Schizosaccharomyces pombe: one gene and its partner. The gene in region 1 interacts genetically with each later gene. Each region holds a gene or a part of one and is shown in the gene's direction. Other genes may lie near its edges. The genes, in order: SPOM_SPCC306.11 and gid5.

Evidence for each region.
Region 2: mutations in SPOM_SPCC306.11 (region 1) and gid5 together harm fitness more than expected from each alone (negative genetic interaction), as found in Schizosaccharomyces pombe (one large-scale study listed by BioGRID).

What each region holds. Positions count from the first base shown.
Region 1 is NC_003421.2:425,069-437,197, forward strand, and holds SPOM_SPCC306.11 (uncharacterized protein), read left to right. Parts: upstream 1-5,346; 5' UTR 5,347-5,719; coding exon 5,720-6,571; 3' UTR 6,572-7,202; downstream 7,203-12,129. Other genes in the region: adenylyl cyclase-associated protein Cap1, read right to left, coding at 1-1,075, 1,150-1,208; gamma tubulin complex GCP6 subunit Alp16, read right to left, coding at 7,327-9,606; ribosome biogenesis protein Rix1, read right to left, coding at 10,869-12,129.
Region 2 is NC_003424.3:4,117,309-4,130,516, forward strand, and holds gid5 (protein Gid5), read left to right. Parts: upstream 1-4,664; 5' UTR 4,665-4,840; coding exon 4,841-7,210; 3' UTR 7,211-7,429; downstream 7,430-13,208. Other genes in the region: mgs1 (DNA replication ATPase), read right to left, coding at 1-77, 118-892, 937-954, 1,000-1,030, 1,074-1,665; CAF assembly factor complex subunit B Pcf2, read left to right, coding at 2,591-2,722, 2,818-2,920, 2,962-3,204, 3,270-4,330; mga2 (IPT/TIG ankyrin repeat-containing transcription regulator), read left to right, coding at 7,904-11,359; shelterin complex subunit Pot1, read left to right, coding at 12,221-12,289, 12,336-12,456, 12,529-13,208. UniProt on the Schizosaccharomyces pombe protein: Component of the GID E3 ligase complex recruiting N termini and catalyzing ubiquitination of proteins targeted for degradation.

The sequences.
Region 1 (12,129 bases):
TTTAGGCTTAGGACCAGGAGTGGGTCCCGTTTTACGTAAATTCGGATTTTTGTGGGTCATTTCACTCTTATCCACCTTACGAAGTCCGGATGTAATTCCCTCGCCTTTATTAATTTCGGCAAACACCGCTCCCATATCACCTTTATTATCAGCAGGTGCGGGCTCGTTGCTATCCTTCCAAAAATCATTAGATGGAGGAGGTGGTGGTGGTGGTGGAGGCAAGCCGCCGTTTGCAGAATCGCCAGAAGATGGTGCCTGAGTTTTCGAAGCAGACAAGTTTGCCAAAGCCGTTTTCAAGGGTACTGCATCCTGTTTAGTAGACCAGGTGAGACCGGTTTTGAAGTGGGTCTTGACGTATGTAATCAATTCAGTCAACAGAGTAAGGTAAGAACGAACCCATTCGATTTGCAAGTCATCTTTACCTTTAAACTCTTTCATTACACGGTTGGCGTAGAATTGGGACGAATCTTTCATTTCAGACATAAAGGATAATGGAGTGGGCTCAACTGTGACCCAGCCCAAAATACTAATTCCACTCATGACGGTAGAAAGTTGATTGAACTCGGGGGCGGTGCGGTGTTCATCTCGAATATTGGTAATAGTGAGCAGTTCAGATTGGATAGGCTTGAGGAATTCCAAGAGTTCCGGGGAATCCATGTCGGGTTTCTGGGCTTTCAAAGCGACGCTCAAAACCTGACGTAAAAGGTTAAAAGCCTTCTCGACGTGTTCACTTTGTTCGGCAATCAAACCACCAATTTTTTTACTCAATTCCATGTATTTAGATAAATACTTGGAACAAAATTCATCGTAGGCGGAAATGGAAGCAGGAACCGCTTCAACGGCAGAGGTGGATGTAAGACTTCTGTTCCGAGGACTGATAGCAGCCGCAACTTGATCATGTAATGATGCGACAGCAGGACTACCAGTCGACACGGTTGGGGCCGTTGGAGTACCAATGTTGAAGGATATGTTGTGGGTTTGACTGTTTGAATCTCTAGAAGGACGATGCATGTTGGGAAGAGGCTTATGACCACTTTCCACAAGATCCTCCAAACGAGAAGTTGCCGCTTCCAGTCTATATGAGTAAATGTTAGATGCATAATCAATTAAAGACTATTACTCTTTTAGCAGTTTAATGCAATTACATACCGTTTGAGAATCGTGGTAAAATTGTAGCCTGTTTCACGTATATTGATCATATCCGACATGGTTAGACGAAAAGAAAATGTGTTTAGCGGAGGTTAAGTGATTTTTATAATGCAACGCAACAAATATAGTAAGTGTGGTGGTGGATGGAGGACGAAGGAACATAGAGCCGGCTTAAGCAATATGAAACTCGGTATCGAAAAAAGCGACTTAACCTTTTCAGCTGTAGTATAAACTAGCGTTTTTATTATATAAAAAATTGAAAAAACGATAACTATTTCCCTCTTTTGAAGCTAGAAGAGCTACTGGCAATGATCGTGTCTTGGCTGTGAACAAACATAAATACTTAACATAAAAAAATAATTCCATATTCGCGCTGCACCTTACTTTAGCCAAAAAAAATGTAATTATTAAATGCACCGAACCTCTGCTGAGATGAGTCCAGAGATTATCGAGGTAAGGTTTTTAATCTGGCAGCTTCGTCTGTTGTGCAATCGAAACTATATACGCTTTCTGAGTTAAAAGATTGGAAAAGAGAAGCAGCGATGCCGTTGCTGAGCTTTTAATTTTTGACGTGCTGTTTACAGTCGCTAAACTTTTGACGAAGTTCAATCCTTTTCCTACATATCCCTATGCTTACTCTAAGTATAGTCTCATTGTTGAAATGTTAATGCCTCAATTTTTTAAAAAGAATTTGTTTACGATGAAAGTGAAGGAATGCAGTTATTTAAACGACTATAATAACATTGCCTGTACAGTATTGGCAAATAAGACCTAGCAAAACAACGTTGAAAATTATGTTGATTTATAATTTAGGAGTAAATTGATTTTACTAAGTCATTTTACATTAATCATACTTTTATTTATTAATTTAAATGGCTGCTGGCAAATAAGGCGGTACACACGCATTTGTAATTTTGCTGTACTGCGTTAATGTCTTGAACCCTATAACGTTTAAGGAAAGCTAAGTTGGGGTGAATAAAAAGGGCAGTGACAAAATAAATGTGTCAGAAGCAATTGCATTTTGAAAATGAGTTTTGGAATTCTACTTTTCACTTGCTATTATTGAAAAAACAGTTTGCTTTGAAACGAGTATTGCTCATTTATTTATGTTGAGCGGCGGGAACTGAACTCCAGAGTGAATATTCTTGATTTCGCTGTTTCGTTTGTCGCAATCACAGCAATTAATTCGCGCATGTGTTTTATTAAATAAAGAATTATCTTGATGAAATGAAGAATAATTACACTTCCTTGAAAAGTCCTCTAGATGAAGAAGATGAATTGAAGACAGATCATGAAATCGATTTGGAAAAAGGCCTGCTTCCAGAATATAATTCAGAGGAAGAGGGCGCATTACCTCCATATTCAGGTAAGAATTGTAAATAATAAGAAAGGAATTACTCAATTGAAAGTTGAAACTTGCCATTGCTGTAAAATAACTTGGATGTGATCATTGTTTATAGTCGGCCATGCATGCACACACTTTGATACATGCACTTTCTTTACTAAAGTATTTCAATCATATTAATTTAAACAGATTACGCACGTGTAAGCAATCCTCCTAACATACATAGAGAAAACCATTCTTCCGGGACGACAGATGATTCTTCCCCTTTTTTGATTAAACTACTAATATCATTCACTCCAATCGTTCTACTCAATGCTCTAGCAGTTTGTTATCTAAAGTATAAAGACGCTTTCTTTAAAAATTATGGTGCAGCGGAATGGACGTTATTTGGATTTTGGTGTCTTGTTTGCACTTTGGCTTTAATATTCTTGACTTGTAAGTGAGACAATGGGGTTAATCTTACCTTCAGTCACTAACTCATTAGACTTCTATGAAAAGGGCCAAGGCAGTTAAAGTAACTGTAAATTTCTTGGCACAATGTGTAAAGGTAACTGCGGTCGGCTTGTACAACTCAAGGGAAAAATGGGTAGTAATAATTTGGCTATTATGGGTAGTCATTTGCTATACACTTTTTCTTCGCGCCAAATTCGGTAACCTGAACTTATACAAGGCTCTCATCTGTTCTACATGCAGTATTTCAGCTGCTTTACTTTTATTTTTACTATATGGTATGTGAAGTTATGGAGTTACCATTACTGACCGCTAACACGCAGTTCGTCTTCCATTTTGGACACTCAAGCATATGCTTTTTGGTTTGTTTCAAATGCTGGGTGTACAAAGTTGTGTCGTTATTGTACAGAAAGGTTTGATGCATTCATTTGATAAACATATCGACGGGACAGGCTACGAAATTGAAGCCACTTCACTCTTTGTTATAGGCAATTTTCTTTTCTTTTACGAAATGGGTTTGTTCAATATTCCTGTAATTTATTCTAACCGTATCAGAATGTCCAGGTGCTCTCAAAAGGATGCCCAAATTTATCAGGAATGGTATAGCTTCTTTCCTAGGTATGTGTATTCAACCAACTGTATGAATGATTTTTTACTTACCCGACTAGGAGGTATAGCAAATGCGATTGGAGGTGCCAACGATAATAATGACATTCCCTTGGAAGAAACGGAGGCCGAAAGCGAAGTCTAATTGCTTTATTAATGTAGTTGTCGCTACAGTTGGAAAACCTCTTTACCAAAATCACCAATGCAGAGAAGCTGCGGCGTTTTTTAAAAAATTAGCACCAACTTTCTTTAATCATCCTCTTTCACTATAAGTTTATGGAATATATGCTTAACTCATTCTTCCAATTACTATAAATTGTCAAACCAATGCATCGCTTGAAATGATTCGCGATGTTGGTTAACATACATTATGAAAGCGATTTATGAAGTTTACAATAATGGTTTTATTATTCAAAAAAAAGAGTTTGCTTACTGGTTGTTACATTTAACTATTGCAATAAAAAAACTCGCCGTGCTCTTTCATATTGCATTTATGATTTGGATCAAATATTTGAGCAAACTGATTTTAGATCATATTATCAGCTTTTCCTGATGTTTCCTATTCTTGTTAATGATCCACTTTTTTTGCCTGGGGATATTAATAAATTAGTTAGCGTTAGGATTCAATTTAGGTGGATGAATGCGAATGTTTACATCTGGAAGGTTATTAAGATAAGAAACAAAATGCACAAGGTTGTAACATACAGTGGTTGGTTGTTTAAAGCCTTTATATCTTATCGACAACATTGGCCGATTATTGCAGAAGGGTGTTACAATTGAAACTCTTGCATGTTCTTTCCTTTTTTTTTTTACGTGCAATCTTTCCAAATTGCAGTTTCAATTGTAGATAATGAAAATTTGTTTGTAAAAAAGCTCCAGTGGATTTTATAAATTTACTGAAGCAAGGAACTTCTTTTTTCCCCTACTAGTTGAAATATATCCTCTGAAAGGCAAAATTTTACAGCGTCCGTTAAACCAAATACTTAACCATAGTTGATGTATTAATTGATTTCCAACTCATTTTTTGTTTCTACCTTTTTCAATACTGGATGTCTTCTATATGGGTAATTTGAAATTCCTGCTATTCGAAAACAACTATGTTGCTCACACATTATCCTTTCAAAAATTAATAAATAATAAATATTTAATATATAAATATAGTTCCAAGTCTTTTACTATCCTAATCTATGAAGAAAGAAATTGTAGTTAGTTTAATTGCGGCGCCAGCCTCACTTCCAAACATTCATGAAGAGAGTGTAGCTGAATATCTAGGGGGCAGGTAGTTAGTATGCCATATTCACATACATCCTCAAGAATTTTAACACCACATCACAATTGTCCCGCCTTTTGTTTTGATGAGCAGCTGAATGAATGGATTTGAATCGATGCACTTGTATCGCGACTATTCACTTACACTTGTTAATTGGAGTGAGTTGCGATGATCAAAGCTCTTTGTCCATAATGCCCAACTAACTAGTGAGACTGAATAATAATAATATTGAGATACTTTATCATGTTTTCATGATGTTTCTTTTCTACATTTGCTATATTCAGTTCAATCCGGCCACCTTTGAACATATTGCCAGCCATCTGAATTGTTTTGTTGACATTAGGCTGGTTGCCCTCCGAGTTTGTTTATTTACACGGTGACGCAGGCTGGTTGCGATGAACATTCTCAACGCTGATTGGCTGCTTCTCCAGCTTGCCACTGTAAACAAATGATGTCAGGATCGTCTAACGAACGAGGCTAAACTCGTATATATAAACATCGATCTGCTTCCCCATTGCGGTTTGCTATAAAATCTGGTCTTTGCATTTTGGCTGTTTTCCACTTGAAAACATCTTTTGTTTACATCGTTTGTCTTCCTTCTCTTAAGTTACTTTGTAAAACGTCGTCCCAGTGTTTGGGTGCTTCAGTTTGACAAAGCTCCTTGAAGTAGTTGAGTTTATTATCATTGTTCATCTTTCCTCCTTTTTAATCGATCCAAAAAGACTTCATCGTCTCTACATTTTTATTCCATATATTCTTATCGTCCTTACATTTTCTATTCATCTGATATCCCTTTCGTTCCATTATTTCCCCCTATTTTCAATTGCATTTTCCGTTCTCAAAATTATCGTCTCCAAAAATTACTTTACGTACTCTCACATTTTAATTTTATAAAAAAAATGTTTGCATTTGCCTCTTTTGCGATTTCGGCCATCTTTTTCCTTTGCTCGTTCTCCTATGTCTCGTCCATCAAGCTTTGTGGCATACCAGGTGCTCCTGCTTGTAAAAGGCGTGAGATTTCTTTATATAAGCGTGCAACTGACACATTTCCTGACTTGAGTTCTGCTATAGCTTCTACCTCCTATTATAATATTTCGGAAGGTACATATTGCCATGTAAGTGGCTCCAACCTTTGTGTTTCACCCGATGTAATTGCCATTTGCGCTAATCATAGCACTGTTCTCTTGAACTGCCCTACTGTGCTTGGTTATCCCAAGGGTCGTGGTTCCGCATGTGTTGAAACCAATTCTTCCTACGGACTAACTCGCGGTCTTTGTCAGATCGGATCCTCCAACTACTCCACTAGCGCTAATTCTTCCAACTTTGACAATGCAAATGTTATCAACGTGACCACTTCCGTTAGTTCGGGAAGTACGAGCACTCACAGCAAGCGTTCTTCCGGTATATCTTTAAGCTATACCAACATTGTTGATCAACCCATCTTATTCACTCGTGATTCCTCAATGGATTGGTCTTGCAACATGACTTTGTGTAATACGGATTACCCTTACTTGGTTAACACTTGCTTCAATGGCACCCAATACCCCGTTAATTGTAACTCTGCTTTGCGCACTCCATTTGGTGGTGCTACTTGCCGTAATATTGGCTATAAAGGTCAAGGTATTTGTGTATATACCAACGACAGTCGTATCCCTGTTGCCGATGACCATGTTATTGTTAACACTACTTCCAAAATAAATCCAAACATTACCAGTGTCTTTAACTACCGTGACAATGCCTTCTTGTGGTAAAGGATTTCGCATAGATTCCCTTTTTCTTTAAAAAAAATCTAAAATAAGGAACATGGGCACTTGTTCCTTACTTGCATGTCTTCCTTGCTAACATTAAATTATCACTTACCTCCTTCCTTTTTCATGCATTCCTTGTCCGTTTACCCTCAACTTCACCAAAGTGATAGGCGTCCAGTAAGATTTTTATCTTTTGGCTTTTGCCTCTACTCTTTTCTCAACATGTCTTTATTTGCACTCTTATATTTGCGTGAGGTATTTACAGATTTGTATCTTTTTTTTTTTTTTTGCATGCATTTTTTGAACGAGCAAATTAAGTGGGACATACTGGTATGTTCCACCATTAAAGCGCATATATTTTTGCACCAAAATAACTTACTAAACTACATTGCGTATTTTCCTGTGATCATGGCACTTTACCTTGATATGTTTGATCTTCAAACAATCAATCATAAGCTTGACTGTTCATTTCTATTTTGATTCCTTTTAATTCTTCATCCCTTTCTTTGTTAAATTAATTTCCTTTTGTTTGGCACAGGTTGTTTAAACTTAGATTAAGATATATCTCTAGTAAATACTTTACTCATGAATTTATCCAAATACTTCTTTACATTCTTTATCATTTTATGCAAGGAATTTTCTGTAAGTGTTGTGCTTATAAATTTTTTTCTGCTGTAAAATCGTATATTCTTCAAACTTAAAGGTGAGATTAGCATGTTTACACTCGTAAAAATCCGTCATCCGGATCTGGTTTTTTGTTATGACACTTTGATGGATGACTCCCAGAGTTTCATGGTATCAAACAACTCTTTGACCTTTTGATAAATTGCTTTAGTGCACTGCTCGTGAACTGAAGCCGCATTTTTAATTGCAGAATTTTGTATGTTCGTAGGACAGTCAGGAGAATATATGGATTTCAGTAATTTCGTAAAAGGCAACATACACTCTGGAATGTATATTGAAAGAAACTGAAAAAGAGATTCTTTCGTGCCTTGATACTTAGACCATGACATAATAGTTGTTTTTGTTACTATAGAACGATCTTTCAATTCGACAGATGATTCAAAGTCTGATTGAGCTTGAAAGAGATGTAAAACGTAAGAAAAAGTTTTCGAATAATAATTTAAAGAGTTATCAGTAAATAATATCCGTAAAGCACCTATTACTTGGCATTGGAATTGTAAATCAGGGTACACATCCTCAAATTCACTAACGCTCGCAGAATCCAATGTAAAAGTTATACTCTTAGATAAAGACCTGCTCAACCCATTTTTTTCTTTTTCCATAAAAATGAATTTTTTCAATCGAGAAATAAAATTATATCTGTCATCAGAGTTCAAGTCCTCAGCCAACTCATTACGGTCAGATTTATCAAGCCTTCTTGATTTTAACAGAGAAATGACATTATCAGAGAATTCATAATTTTGAAAAAGAAAAGTGGAATGAAAAAAATTTAAAAGATCAAACACCTGAAAATCGTTTTTTAAAACTTTATATGTCGAACGTAAGAAACTGAGAATAAAAGATTGTATTGGCTCAGCAATACAGCAGCAAACATTCAAGTTAAGCGGACAGACGTTGCGCACATCATCTGTAAATTTAAGTTGTAATAAATTATCGTTGAAATCTGGAGTCATGTTCATTTTAGCAAGCAGCGTTTCAAATTCTTCACTGTCATTATTGACGGAAGTTTGTTCCAAATTACCAAAAGAAAGCGAAGAAAAGTTGCAGCGCTCCTCTATTACACAAGCTTGATTTATGTCGTTGAAAGAATATGCGAACCGAATGTTCAAAGGGTTAATAAATTCTTTGTTGTTTTTATTAAATATTTCTTTTTGTTCCCTTATTAATGACAAAAATTGAATACACTGTTCAATGCTTACACAAAGTTCAGAAGGAAAAAAACGGGGAAGTGATAAGAACAATGAAGAATCAATGTGACCATACGCACAAGAAACTTTTAAAGCAAGCTCAAGCCTTTTGAAGTAGGGATTTGAGCAATATATCAAGCACTGTAGGGCAATGGGGTAAGATATGGTATTCTGACATGAACGCGCATAATCAAAAAGAAAATCTAACAAGGAATCTCCTTTTAGGTTTTGAGCCGATTTTATTAAGAAGTGTGAAATTAACTCAAAGAATGAAGAAAAAGAATTAACAAAGTTACTTAAACCAATCAGACCGAATCTACGGAACTCATAAAGACGAAGCCAACGCTGAAACTCCTTTCGATACTGCAAGACACCATTCACAATGAAATTTGATAAATAAAAAGAAATGTTGGTCTTGTATAAAGAGAATTCATTTAAAGCTTTTTTTATTAAACCCCCAATTGCAGAAAATTTCTGGACGATACTAGCAAAACATTCATCGGACATTCCTGAAACGGAGATGGTCGGATCGAGTTCAAATGTGCTTGAGGTTTTGTTCCATGGAAACACTGTGCTTTCAAATCCTTGTGGTAAACCAGCCACGCAATTGAAAATAGTTGCTAAAGGGTAAACTTGCAGTGCAGAAAATAATGGTTTCGGACTCCAATCCTGATTATGAAGAAAATAATCATATACCCGAGAAGGCGCTTCAGATATGAATGGAGATCTAGCTTCTAAATTTTTAAAATTTTCTCCATCCCAGCTAGGGCATGTTAGCAGAACTTTGTTTTCGACAGATAAATCGCTGGGTGATGAATCTGTAAGATAAGAGGGGGACACTGAGGATTTAGCTCTTTTTCTTTCTGAAGTAATTTCCTTAGATGCGCTTATGAGTTTGGAATTGGATGATGTCTCACACCCAGGCACAGCGGGTGTTAGTTGTTGATTTGAAATATCGAGAATGACATCTTTTCCCAACAGATCATCGTTTACTTGAAATGAAAAGTTTTGAAAGTATTCCGAGGAGTCAAATAACTTCCTCTTCAATCCTTCTTTTCCCTCAAATTTCGAAAGCTGCTCGACAAAATCAGAATCAAATGAATTTGGCGTAAGGTCGAAAACGTGGTTGCCGAACCATAACAAGTCGTTTTTCATAATTCCATCCATTCCATTTTTATTTCAAAATCATCTATTTTAGTGGTACATTTCAAGATCCAACTCCTTTACTGGAAAACACTCTTGTTATGAATTACTAAAATTTGGCAATATGTGTGTAGTTAATGTATAATGTTGTTAACGTAGCGAATTAAGATGACTTCTTATCTAGAACAGTCAGGATTAGAAGATGTGAATGAAGTATGCGTCTCTTAAACTAAGAAATGGAACGTTAGTAATTGATCCTAACATTGAAACCAATTCAAAAATCCGTACTCTCGTGGCCGTACAACAGAAAATACTGACATGGAGTTAAAGGTATCCAGGATGAATAAAACAGAATGATAAATTGAACAAAAACTATCAGTTGTTAAGGAATTACTATTGCACAATTGCATAATCTATCCAAAACGACATTCCAGCATTTAATTTTAAGAGAGTGCTATGTGGATAAAACGTATCCTTTATGGAACTATAAGAGCTCTTTTATGCTTCTCTGGTTAGTACATTTAGATTTTTTTAAAAAAAAGTTTATTGTACTATTCGTGATATTATGGTTACAGTATACCTCGCTGGCTTGATCGTTTATTGTCCAGAGAGCTCGCATGCGAGTCAAAGCTGAATGAATGGTATCTTCATATAAAAAAAGTCTATTTGGAGAATTTTGGATCCTTCAACAAATTTATTTGAAGTACTTAATGTTCTTTCTTAATTTTTCTCATAAAACCATGTGTCAAGCAATGAAGGATTTAAATATTGTTGGCAAAAGAAATGTTGCAATCACTAATTCAAGTTTGTTTAGAAGCTTGCATTATATAGTTATCGACTTTTCTTTTGCCTTTGGAAAGGGATATCTTCATTATTCTTAATGAAACAGTATAAAATTCTTTTAAACACTAGACTAGATAAGTTGTTTTAATTCTTTCTCAAAAAACATAAACGACAGTCTAACTCTAAAATAATCGGGATTTTTGTGACACCAATGGTATAAAAATGATTAATTAAAAATTTTTGCGGATAACACAAGACTTTGTACTTTGTATTACTGGAAAATTTAGCTAATTAAAAAGGAGAACACATAAGCAATGTATTCTGGAGGTCAAAATCAATTGATTTTAACCTCCAAATATCAGCTTGATGTACCTTTTTTGCCATGACGATAATACATACAGGACTTTATAAAAATCAGCTTGGATTAAATGACAACCTACTTATCTAGAAATAGAATTTAAAATAAACATTCAGTACCCCCAAATCCTTTTTATAAATTAAGACTAACTATCACTATCAGATTCCAAGTTTATACTTGGCAAAGAGATATTGTCTTCCTCCTCATCATCTTCTCCGTTTCCTTCCACATTAATAGAAGTCGTTTTCTCATCTACGACATCCGTTGTTTTTTCAAAAGTTTCGACGACTGAAGAAGTTGTGTTTCCATTTTCATCACCATTTATGTTTTCAATTTGGCTTGAAACTACACTAGTAGGTCGGTCAACAAAGTCAACGTCTATAGCAGTAAATTTGGTTTCAGTGTCCTGAGAATTGTTTAATGCAACATTTGTAGTCTCCTCAACCTCAACATCTCCATGCAACAGTGAAACAGTTGTTTCCTTGTTTTCCGAAACAATGTTAATGTGATCAGTCCCGTGATTAATAGTTGAAGGTTGAGAAGAGTTGATTTCACTACCTTCTTCATTTCTGTCACCCTCATTAGAAAGAACATTAGACATAGTCAGCTCTGATTCGCTTCTTTTGTTCTCGGAGGTAGCTGTAGAATTATTCTGTAAGCCTGTATCTGTAGATGCAAAAGACTCTTTGATCCCTTCAATTTCAGTGGAATCTGTAATCGACTCTGTTTCAAAGGGAGGATTTGATGGAGCCAAAATACTACTTTCTTTATACTCTGATTGAGAATCCACCTGGGGTGGAGAAATATGCGATTGGTTTTCAAGAGAAACAGGCTCAAATCTTGACTCAAACGTATTTTCAAATTCGCTTGGTGAAAGATGTTTTTGCAAAGGTGGGAACCTAGGATGAATCAGCGATTCTATTGTTTGCATCGATGACCTTGCGTGTGAAGCGACCAGAGGATCTGGATGTACAAGCCCTAATGGACCAGAAATTATACGTATTGCATGAGGTACTATCACTGCTTGTGAATCTCCCGGTGATAAAATTGACGCAAGGAGTAAATTATGCATAGATATCAAAACTGTTGAGGTAGGGTTAGACAAAGATATCTGCAAGGTGCAAAGATCTATTTTGGTCCGTAATAAACGTGGTAATGCTATTGAATGAGTCAAAATGGATGCTAAAAAAGAAAAACAACAATCCATGACATCTGAATCATAAAGCTGATGAGACTCTTCCGAACTCATAAGTGTATCTCCTGCTTGACTTTCAGAAAGTGTTTTTCGCTTTTTTTGAGAATGCCCACGATTTTTAGAGAACTCTATGGATTTGGATGCTAAACCTTTAGAGGAATTAGCAAGATATTCTAATACCAGCGTTACAATATTTTCGTATTTTGAAAGA
Region 2 (13,208 bases), on another chromosome or scaffold:
TTTTTAATTTCTTCATCCTCTTTTAACTCTATAGGTAGCTTATAAAACTTTGTTCCCTTGATAGAATCGGGTAAATACTGAGTAGGTTAACAAATTGAAAAGAATATTTTTTATTACCTCTTGCATTACTAATCCGTCTTTATAATCCGGATTGTATTTATATCCTTTATGGTATCCTAATTGCTTCATCAAATTTGTAGGAGCATTTCGAATATGCATGGGAATTTCAGCCCTGCCAGCATCGGGATGAGAAGACAAAAAACTTTTTACAGCATTATATGATCTGTAAACGTCAACTGATTTTGGAGCTAATGCTAAGGCGACGGCGCAATGAGCTAGAATTACATCGGCTTCAGGCATGCCAACTTGTTGAACAGCAGTAAATGTACTGGATGCTAGAGGTAGCATAGAATTATCTGCTATTCCAATGTCTTCGCTTGCTATTCTAACCATTCTTCGTGCCACATACAGTGGATCTTCTCCAGACTCGAGCATTCTACCCAGATAGTATAAAGTTGCATCGACATCAGAACCCCTTACTGATTTATGGAAGGCAGAAATTGTATCATAATGAACATCACCTACTCTGTCGTAAAGTGCAGAAGATCTGACTAGCTTGTCCTTAATATCTTCGAGTGACAGGGGTCCTTGTCTTAGCATTCCAATAGACATTTCTAAAGCATTTAAGGCCATTCTAGCATCTCCGTCTGTAATAGCAGATATGTAATCAATAATAGATGTTTCAACGTTGGGCATAGAAGATCCTAGTCGCTCACTTTCCAGTAAGCAAGCATGGTTTAATATTTTCTTAACATTATCACGCGTTAGTTTCTTAAGCACAAAAACGGGGCATCTGCTAATGAGAGCAGAATTTAGTCGGAAAGAAGGATTTCTACAATGTTAATCATGGTGGAAAACATTAGTGTTTAAACATACTCAGTTGTTGCGCCGATCCTAATTCAAAGGTTAGCATTTGTGATATTAGAATGCATCACTTACAGAGTAACTAGACCCTTTTCAACCATTGGCACTAGTCATGGTTAATTGAAGAGATAAAAAAATATCAAACTTACAAAATATATCCTGTTGCGCACGGTTGAAACGATGTACTTCGTCCAAGAAAATAATAGTCTTTCTTCCTGTCAAGGTGAGATAATTTTGTGAGTCTTCAAAGATTTTACGACAATCAGCAACAGTCGTCGAAGTCGCAGAAATTTCTATGAACCTTGATTTTGTTGTAACGGCAATTAGTCTAGCAAGCGTAGTCTTTCCAGTTCCAGCACTACCCCATAAAATCATGGAATTGCACCTATCTTGTTCAATCAGATTACGAATGATGCCTCGCTCACCAACCAGCTCTTCCTGACCAACATATTCATCTAGTGATTTGGGTCTTGCTCGTTCCGCCAGTGGTCGTGTATCCCGTCTTGTAAGTTTAGTTTTCTTTGTAGGGCTGGGTTCAGGCTCTATAAATTTTGTAGCGCTCTGGTGAGATGAGACATTTGTTTCTAAATGATGTTTATAGCGTTCCTTTTTAAAAAAGGGTGAAACAGGTTTCGAAGGGCCTGATGAGTCCGAATAATGTGAATCAAGGTGTGGATTAATGTCATTCATCGTAACTGTTTTCGCGCAAACAGGACATTGAACATGATCTGGTCCTGACATTCTGATTTACATAGATAAAAGTATGTGGTACGAAAGGTAAACAGATAAATCTGGAATGAAACAATAACACATACAAATGAGCGACCTTTGGCAAGAAAGTTTACAAAAAAAAGTAACGTTTAAGGAATTTTGATCATCAAAATTGCTTGTTGTTTATGACACTCTCAACAGCAATATAACAGAGCTGAACGGCATCGATTGTACAAAACCGTGAACCAAGTCGTCGCGTGTAGTTAGGGAATTATACGATGAAGTAAGAGGTTATAATAATATCAAAGTATTTGTTTAAGCTAAAAATATTACTTACAAGAAAAAGTTAGATTTTAAATTCATATGTGTTATTATAGTTGACAGTTTTTATACGCAATTTCACCGCCTAAATGATAAGATATTAAAAAAAAAACAATAGAAATGATGAGTCTATGGAAGATAATAAAATGTCTAAAAACCAAAATGATGTTGATCCAAGACTTGTAAACTACGCGTTTTAAACCCTCAAATTTTGTACTCTATTATATGAAATACTCTGTTTTTAAACCAAGGGGAAAGGATGCAATTTCAACTGTGAAAGTCCATAATATTTATAAGAAATCGAACCTTATAAACTTACCTAACACTAAACATAGTAATCGCACGGCTAATAAGAAGACTATTGTGCAAACTAAAGGGCTTTAAATAGATAAAAAAAAATAGAGTATAACGGGCACTCAGCATATAATTCAAAATTTTTCCTCCAACTACTAATGCTGCTTGAACATTGAACCCAAAGCAAATTGACAAATAATAGAAATAACAACAATATTAGAGAGTTCATAAAAAATTCTCTTTGAACTCTAAATAATATACACGTTAGTTCCGTACTCACGAAATTACTATTAGAAAAATTGTGCGAAGCGATCCTAGAGCACTAACGACGAAGAGGAACATGAGAGCGGAGGTTTTGCAGATACGATGGCATTATGATGCTAATGATGATCACACACCTATTTATTCAGTTGATTTTCAAAAGAACAGTCTTAATAAATTTGCTACATGTGGAGGAGACAGTAAAATCAGGGTAATGATTTGACATAAAACTATTTTTGCTTCAACTATTGTTTGTTGTAGTTTAAAAAAAAGAAAGAAAATTCCTTCAATTATACTAATATCCAGATATGGCAATTGATCACTTCGGAATCATCCACAAAAGTCGAATATTTGTCTACGTTAAGTCGACACACGCAAGCAGTGAACGTCGTTCGTTTCAATCCAGAAGGTATTCGCTAATAATTTTTTCCAATGCTCACATTAAAATAGGAAATATTCTTGCTACCGCCGGAGATGAAGGAACTATTATGTTATGGGTTCCAACTAACACTCCTATAACAACTTTGGCTGATGATGCGGAAGAGTTGGCTCTAGCTAAAGAATATTGGAAGGTCAAAATAGTTTGTAGGTCGATGGGTTCAGAAATATATGATTTATGCTGGTCGGTTGACAGTAATTTTCTTATTGCCGGCGCCATGGATAATAGTCTTCGGTTGTACGATGCTCACACAGGTATGAATTGGCAGTTGTTGTTATTGGCAATATTTTTTTTTAAATTAAAATTACTGACTAAGAAGGGCAACTGCTTACTCAAAAATTCGACCATTCACATTACGTTCAAGGGGTATGTTGGGATCCTTTGAATCAATACATCGTTTCGGAAAGTAGTGATCGTTCTATATGTTTATACGAAATTCAAGAGGAAAAAAAGAATCCGAAAAAATTCCAACTCGTTTTAAAATCGCGCATCTGTCGTATTGAGTATAATGTAACTAAATTCGAATTAATATCTGTTACGAAGCCCTTAAATAATGATGAATCATCGGGGATATCAGAACCTATCGAAACTTCTAATAATAATGAGTCTCCCGTATCTAAGCACGAAGCTCTCTCATCAACTGCAAACATAGTCAAAGATGGAAGCTTAGAGCGAACAGAGCCTCCAAATTCTCTCAATTCAAAAATCAGTTACTCTTTGTACTGCAATGAAACTCTTGTTTCTTTTTTTCGTCGTCCAGCATTCTCCCCTGACGGATTACTACTAGTTACGCCTGCTGGTCGGCTTCGACCGCACGGTCAACCAAACTTTGAAGTTCCCTATACTGCTTATATTTATACAAGAGGGAGTATAACCAAACAGCCAGTAGCTTGTCTTAATGGATTCAAAAAACCAGTTATTGCGGTTCGTTTTTCTCCAATTCATTATGAATTGAACTCATTCTCTAACTTCTCTTTTACTTCTGTCTCTTTTAATCTTCCTTATCGAATGGTATTTGCTGTGGCATGTCAAGATGCTGTTTATATTTATGATACGCAAACTTGCAAACCATTTTATCGTGCAGTAAATTTACATTACTCTAACCTTACAGACATAGCTTGGAATGATGATGGAAATGTTTTGTTAATGACTTCTATAGATGGTTTTTGTTCTGTAATTACCTTTGAACCTGGAGAATTGGGTGTCAAAAGTCAACACAAAATTTCTTTGCCGGAGAAACGATCAGCTTCACCCTCTAGTATTGATGATTCACAAGACAATACGGCTGGGGGACCAGCTACTACAACACTAATTCCCAGAAAAGTTGAATCTTCAAAAGTATCAAAGAAGCGTATTGCACCTACCCCCGTTTATCCATAATTTCATGTTTATGAAAAAAGTTCTACTTCGACAATACGCTTTGATTTTTGGAGTAAAAATCTCGTACTTCTTGTTTTGTACTAGTAACTTTAAAGAACCTTTTATTTTTTTAAAAAAAAAAAAGAAGGCAAAACTGTACATTCTACTTTGGATGTAATCATTCGGTAATTTGCTTAGATATAAGCACAATTAAATTCATTACAATTGTTAAGATAAATATATAAAAAGCAAATAATACTTCTAATCGTTTGTACTTTTTGTCTACTTAAGACTATAAAACTAATATGTAACTTTTCTGTAAGTATAAAATACGTATTGAGGAACCCTCTTACACATAACATCACCACCATTCTATAGGAATTGCATCTTATACATTACTCATTGCATAGATTAAATTGCTAATAATCTACTTTTATTAAAAAAAGATTTAATCAGCTCATTTTCACGCTAGTTTTCCAAATTTACTGAAGTCTCATATTTTTTGCAAATATCTTCAAGTTTTGTTCATGAATGGTCGCCATTAACGACTCTACGGATTCTTCGTTTTTTAAAGAAAATCCTAAAATATTTAAGGATGAGCATGAGTTGTTGAGGTATATCGTTCCTTTCAAAAATTGGGTAATTGGAAGACCCGACAGAAAAGAATATGCAATTCGCAATGGAGCTCCAAAGCTGTTGCTTAATTTATTTTCCTTAGAAAATTTATCCATGAATGAAAAATATCAAGTTTTTGTTGTTTTAAACTCCTTGATGAGTGAGGACCAGGACCCTTTCGTTCAATTTTTACGACACGAGGATCTTCTTTCCGTTATGCAAATGATTTCGAAAAGGGATAGTACACCATATGGAATGCTGAATATCACCCTTAAAGTTTTTAACACAATGCTGAGTTTTGACAAAGCAGCAGAATATGTCACTCAGTTACATTCGGACTCTATAATTAATCAAATGTTTGACTTGTATACTTTACCCTTGAAAGAACAACCTTCTCTTGATGTGTTGCGTATCTCAAATTTATCTTCTAAGATTTTGCATCGTCTTATCCTTTATAACTCTAAAGTTGGAGACTCTCCACGATTCTGTTCTGCTTTATTTCAAATCACTAACAGAGCTACCCAATTGCGCTTGTATTCCAGAAGAAGATTTTGGAATGATTGCTCTATCTTAATTACTAACTCCCTGGGTACTTTGAATGCTTATTTAAAACAGCATGTGAAGTCTTATAAACAAAGAGAGAAAACCCGGCTAGAATCAAATGGTCACGTTTCGCCTCGCGATATGGATTTAGATGAAATTGAAAATGTTTTTGAGGGAAACAAGGATAAGGTCGCCTTATTTAAATCAGAGATATTTGGGCCTAATGGTGATGAATATATTACTCAGTTATTCTGTCTCGTTAGACAGTTTGATCCTTGTATTCGCTTGCTCTCAATTTCTTGTTTAGTGACCCTATACAAGGCAGGCATCCTTTCTAAAAATCAAACTAAGGAGATTCAAATGATAGTAACTCCCATTCTCATCCGTTTATTTTTTGAATCTCGAGAAGCAAAACAAATCGCTCCTCGTATTCTCGCCATCATAATCAATGAAAACGAAATTATGCAAAAGACGGCTGTAAATGCAGGTTTTATTGATGCTGCCAAATATCTTCTAGAATACGCAACTAAAGAAGAAGAGAATGAAATTAATTTTTTATCCGATGAATTGCAATCCAGCGTTTGTTTTAATCTTCCTGCTACCAAAAAGGAGCAAAAAAACCTAATCTTAGAATCAGTTTTGCTAGCCGTTGCTGCATTAACAACTTCTAAAGATGAATACAGAAAACTAATAGTTGATGCTAAATATTTGCCTGTTATCATTAATGCTTTGAAAATCAATTCTAACAGCGTGAAAAAGGCTGCTTGTGAATGCTTATTAAGTCTCTCGAGAAGCGTTTACATTTTACGTACGGGCCTTGCCGATGCAGACGTGAGCGAACCATTAATAAAGTTGCTTTCTGACCCGGATACTAGAGTCAAATCGACTGCTACGTCTGCCATTTGTAACTTGGTACTTAAGTTTTCTCCTTTGAGAGAGAAATTCCTTACTACAAATTTCATTGATACTTTGATATCAAATATTAGTACGAAAGATAGCAGTCTAAGAAAGAAGACCGTGTGGGTTCTGCGGCATGTTGTATTTGGTGATGATGAGACGATCCAGCTTGAACCTTTAAAAAAGATCGGTGCTTCAAAGCTTGTGGAACTTTGCAATGACGAAGATCTGGGGGTCCAAGAGCAAATGTTGCAAGTGCTGCGAAATTTTACATGTCAGAAAGAAGAAAGCGTGGATTTTCTTTTGAAAATGGTTCCTATGGAGTTGTTAGCAAAAATTTTGCTTGAAAAATTAGAAAGTAAAAATCCTATCCTAATTGAACCCAGTATTTACATTTTGGTGCACATCGCTGCCAGCGATGGTGAGCTTAGGGATTCTATCCTAAGGCAAACCAAACTACTACTATTGGTGAAGGAAATTATGCTACAAGAAGCACAACGTCTCAAGCCCGAGCAAATGTCCACAAATGTGTCATCTCCGGAAAGTGACAGTGAAATGGATTTGCAAGAAGATGATTTTGATAGGGAAATGCGTCCTCCTTTCGATATTTATGAAGAGGACACTTATGAACCAAACTCCGAAATTCTGTTGGCCGGAATTTGGCTCTGTATTAACATTCTATGGCCCAAACAATGTACATCTCCAAGCCAGGAAGATAAGGAAAGAGCAAGTATCTTACAAAATCTCGGATTTGGAGAATGTTTGCAGATGCTACAAAATCACTCATCTCCTGATGTAAGGGAACGTGTCAAAGATGCCTTGATGTACATCAATGTAACCGATTAATTTCTATTACGCTTTTCCGTTGTCTTTGCCGACTTGATTGGAACAGTCTAACAAATCGGAGCCATTTTCGCATTTAGTATTTCTGTATGTATAAATGTGTGCACAACTCTTGCAGCTGAAGTTAACAGGTTGTTGGATTGAAGTACTTTGAGAATGATCGTATATAAAAAGATTTAATGATTTATCAAAACGAATAAAATAAGTATTATGAACATTCAACTTATATGTATGCGGGATAGTGTAAAAACCTATTTAACATTGTAAAAATTTTTTAAGGAAAGTTGTACTTTGACAAGAACAATTTCATTTACATGTATTCTACTAAATTTATCAGAATGTTGGGAATTTTTTTGTTGGTATATAATGCCGAAAGGAAATTAATCGAATATGAAGAAAGTGGCGGAACTAAAAAACAAAACCCACAAACTAATTATTTAAATAAATATAACATAATAACTTGTTAAAATAAGAGTAATACTAGAGAATGTGTGCTCAAGTGGAAAGCATGTAATACTTGCACAACGTGATGGAAGAGATTAGTGTAGTAGCGCAGCGACAGCTTCCAACAACCAACTAATCGAGGAGGAAAGCAAAAGTGAGAATTGAAAAGAAGTAGTACATTAAAGACCTTTAAATTCTTTGAAAGAATTGCCTTTATAAAGGTAGTCTATTGCATTTCAAAGTACTCTCAAGATGAATTTAGAATTTTCTTTTGGAAATTTGATCGCCAAAAATACCGAGAATTCGACTAAGGAAGAAGGAACTTGGGAAGTAAACAAGCTCATGAAATTTAGTTCAGAGGAGGGGAGGTCTTCCTCTGATGATTATATGTTTTCCTCTCCCGATTTTGAAAAAGCCGGAAACGGCGATGCAGAAATGCGTGAATTTTTTAACTTCGATGGATTGCCGGATCAAGGTCTAAATTTGCCTAGTATAGCTCCTCCGTCTTTATCCCATGCCAGTTCACCTAACTTATCGAATTCACAAGATGAAGCGGAATGTTTACCGTCTGATCGTCAGCAAGACTACATCAATCCTAGTTTGCATTTGAACAGAACGGTGTTTCCTACTCCGCAACATTCTATTTCTGATGCTAATTTTCTAGCTAATACCGTTGATCAACCTTTGGGAGATAATCCCATGTTTGGAGAGTCGGATGTTTATCTTTTAAAAATGGATCCTATGAAACAAGCACCTTATGAAGCTGGATTTAATTCTGTAAAGTCATCGGGCGCCATCGAAGATCCATTACAGTTTAGACAGCCGATTACCATGTTGGAAACTCCCTTCAACGAATCTATTAATACTCTTACGCCATATGCCGAAGATTATGCATTTTCCTCTTTAAATACGTCTGCACCGCCTCTTTCTAATAAGGAGTACGCGTTCTCAGTTAATCATTTACCAGCTATCAATGAGCACAAATGGAAATCTCGGGTGGAAACTAACATGCTTTTTGAGTTGCGGATCAAGAGCAACGATAATCAAAGTGTTCCGTTTGAATATCTTCGCTTGCCAAGTTGGGCTCACCGTGAAGACAAAAAGCGTTCTTCGAAACCTCAGCCTTTGCAACCCGATCCGGAGACCGTCATTCATCTTGTACCTACCGTTCTTGCAGGTGACAAAAGCTCAGTTGTTAAGACTTGCTGTACTCGCTGTTTACTTCGAGAAAGGAAGCGCAATGCTCGATCTCAAGCAACAAAGGATGCTTGTATGCCTAACTATACTAAACTGAAGGCTTATGAGCGTAACATGACTGATGCCTCTCCCGAAGAAAAGCAGCAGTTCAGGATCAAGCTCTTAAATCAATTTCCCAAACTTGAAGACATAGATGAAGATAGAATGATAATGGTTTTTACTGGACCTGAGTACGTTCGTTTGCAATTGGATGGAAATGAAAGAGTTGCTCACATCAATGCACGGATTACATGTTACTCGTCTCATCAATCATGCCCTTACTTTCACATCATATGGGACTTATACTCCATGTCACGTTTGGTGGATCGTCTTGTTTTTCCAGAGCCTGTTACCGTTCTTGATGATCATAAAAGTAGAAATCTTACGAAATCAGAAAAGACTGGTAAGAGCAATTCTCAACAAGCTCCTTCAAACCATGTTCTTTCTAAAAGCAATACTGTCCCCAATCTTGTCACTGGTTTCCCTACCCGTTCAGATAATCCACCAAATGAAAAGCGTCGTCGAACATCCTCGAGTGAAAATTCTAGAGCACTCGACATACAACTATCTGCTAGTGACTCGCATTCACCTAATTCGAAAAGCACTTTGAAAAGTGTTGAGGGCTCAGCCTTTAGTATGAGCAAATCCCCTTCTGTGCTGAGTATGACTACCCCAAGCGGCGTAAGTCCTTCCATTTCAAAGAATGGTTTCCATGTTGTTCGAGTTCCCAGCGATGCCGCTGGTTTCCAACAAAGACAACAGCAAGAGGAAGGAGTGCTTGAAGCCCATACAAATGAAAGTGCCCCAATAGCCCCATTCCCTTACTGTACAGATGATTTCTCGTTTTCCGTTGAAGAAAAAAGTAGTGTCAACAACTTGCTTACACAATTTGATGAGGTTGCTAAACCTGATTTTGTAAGTACGCCGATAAAAGAAAATGTTGATTCTTCTTTTATAAACATGACTCCACCTGATGTTTCACATGCTCCCTTAATATCTCGGATTATTCCTAATAAGGGTTCAATCATGGGAGGTTATGAAGTTACAATTCTTGGCGCGAACTTTTTTAATGGATTAGTCTGTTTATTTGGTGACAACCCAGCTGCTGTAACTTTTTCGTGGAGTGAGTCAACGATTATAGCGACTTGTCCTCCTGCAACTAATGCTGGAACCGTTCCTGTAACCTTTCAGAACTATAATTCATCTTCTGAAGCGCCAGTAATGTTTACTTATGAAGATAATTTAGATAATGAACTTTACAAATTAACTGTTCAAGTTTTAGGCTTAAAACTTACTGGATCTATTCAAAACCCATTAACGTTATCCAAAAAATTGTTGAGTTCATGGCGCGACGATTTTGCTCAATATATAACAAATTCTATTAAGCAGCCTCCTAACAGTGAATCTAAAGGTCAGTCTAAAAAAACCTTATTGCATGATAGCAATATGGAATCGCTTAAATCGGTTATTTCGCGGATTGTGAAAAAAGACAGTAATCAGTCTGATGACAGTGTTGAAAGTACTATCCTCGCAGCATTTGCTCTTGTTACAGATACAACGACACCATACCTTTCTGATTTTAGTCTTGTTAACGAATCTGGTAGGTCACTTCTCCACCTTACTGCTGCCTGTGGATTGTCTAATGCTTCGACGTTCTTATGCAACGCAGGATGCGATGTTAACAAAAGGGACGCACTTGGCTATACACCACTGCATTATGCTTCATTGTATGATCATAAAGACATATGTGTTAATTTACTTTCCAACGGTGCCAAGCCTGATGTTATAGGAGCTAGCGGTAAAAAACCGATAGACCTCTCCTCTTCTGAGCCTATAAAACTGGTCTTTAAGGAAGCAAATAATGAACAAGCCCAAAGTATTTCTCGCTCTCTTATTAAGGATTCTGAAGGCTCCATTAATACAAATGAAACCTTAGAATCAACCAGTATTGTTAACGAAATTGAGGAATCTGCTGTTCAGACCAAGTCATATAGTGAAAGTATGTGGAATAAAACTGTTACAATGTTTCCATCGCTTCAAGAACTACCTCAGAATTATATGAGTGAAGTTCCATCCATGATGCAAAAAGCCATGCTGTCAACCTTAAAAAGTATATCGGCCATTCCCGATGATGTACCCCCTCCTTATTCTGAGTTTGCTGATGATACGACAGCGCAAGCTGGTTCTAGTAAAAGAGATAGCGCTATATCTGAAGATCCCGATCATCACAAAAGTGTTTGGTGGTCTTTGAGATGGCAATCTCGGCTTGTTGGTCGTGGAAAATCTACTGCTCTTACTCCTGAAGAAACCAGAGCAATACAGGAGCAGGCAAAGACACTGAAAAAGGCAGGAATGGACTTTATGCTATTCTCTTTCTGGTTACCTGCCCTACTTTTGCTGAGTATCTTTGGTCTTCGAAGCTATGCTCAAATGATCGGGGGATATTTATATCGCTGCATAATTGGCATTTAGGTTTGACGAACAACCATGCATGTTTTTTTCTTTCTTTTAGTTTTATTCTTTTTTGTAGATTATGAGCAAACTACTGTCAAAACTTAGGTATTATGACAATGAAATCGTATATATTATATTCGATTGGATCAATTTTTTATTATATTGAAAGTAATTGCTTATTTTGTAAGTTAAACTTACATGGGTTTAAACGCATAGAGCAGGTTGGCGCTTTTAAAACCAAAATAGATCGTTGCAGGTTTGCTGTTCTGGATCGTGAATGCAATACCTTAGGAAAGTCTTTTAATAAGCTATCGCTTTTTGCATTGCATTCTTTTTCTAAACTGAACGTTAGATTAGCTAAAGTAAGCGTCTTGAGTTTTCGAGATGAACCGCATACATTAAAATTTTTAAGTACCAATTGGCATGAACCGGTATGCGATCTGCTTATTATAATACTAGTAAATCTTGATACTCGGCAAACTCTTTCAATAATAGCCTAGCAGAAACTGGGATATGTCTAAAGTTTTACAACTGCGCTCAGCTTAAGGACTTTACGGCGATCCATTTAATAGCTAGCCATGAACACTCATAACCTCAAGATTGAGGAGTGGGTCATTCTTTTGCTTGATAAAGAAACAAATTCATTATTGGTAAAATAAAACTGAATAACCCTTAGTTCATCCTAGGAATTTGAAGAAGGGGAATGATCAAGCTTGAACAAGTAACTCTCACGCAGTCTATTGAATAATCTGAAGGTTCATCACTTTCAAGGGGTTGTCTTGGTTTAAAAAGCTTTTACCAATTCCATTTAGGTTTCTGAGAAAGGCTAAAACTCATTTGTTGTTCTTAAAGGATATTTGGATCATTCGTTGATCAAGCATGGGAGAGGACGTTATTGACAGTCTTCAGTTGAATGAGTTATTAAATGCTGGAGAATATAAGATTGGAGTGAGATATCAATGGATTTATATTTGTTTTGCTAACAATGAAAAAGGAACTTACATTTCAGTCCATTAGAAGCTCTCAAGAATTACAAAAGAAGAATACTATTGTCAATTTGTTTGGAATAGTAAAAGATTTTACCCCTAGTCGCCAAAGTCTACATGGAACTAAGGGTATGCTTGCTTATCATGGTGGAAACTATACTTTTTATTTTTCCAGTCAAGAGCTAATAATCATGTTTTTAGATTGGGTAACCACCGTATATTTGTGGGATCCAACATGTGATACATCAAGCATCGGACTACAGATACACTTGTTCAGCAAACAGGGAAATGATTTGCCTGTAATCAAGCAGGTGGGGCAACCGCTTTTGCTTCATCAAATCACATTAAGAAGTTATAGAGACAGGACTCAAGGTTTGTCTAAGGATCAATTTCGATATGCACTTTGGCCAGACTTTTCTTCTAATTCCAAAGATACTCTCTGTCCTCAACCAATGCCTCGTTTAATGAAAACGGGAGACAAGGAAGAGCAATTCGCCTTGTTGTTAAATAAAATTTGGGATGAGCAAACTAATAAACATAAAAATGGCGAATTATTGAGTACCTCTTCTGCTCGTCAAAATCAAACTGGATTGAGTTACCCTTCTGTCTCTTTTTCTCTGCTATCACAAATAACTCCACATCAACGTTGTAGCTTTTACGCTCAGGTAATTAAAACTTGGTACAGTGATAAAAACTTTACTCTTTATGTCACTGATTATACGGAAAATGAGCTTTTTTTTCCAATGTCTCCGTATACTAGCTCCTCGAGATGGAGGGGCCCTTTTGGTCGGTTTTCTATAAGGTGCATTTTATGGGATGAGCACGACTTTTACTGCCGCAACTACATTAAAGAAGGTGACTATGTGGTTATGAAAAATGTG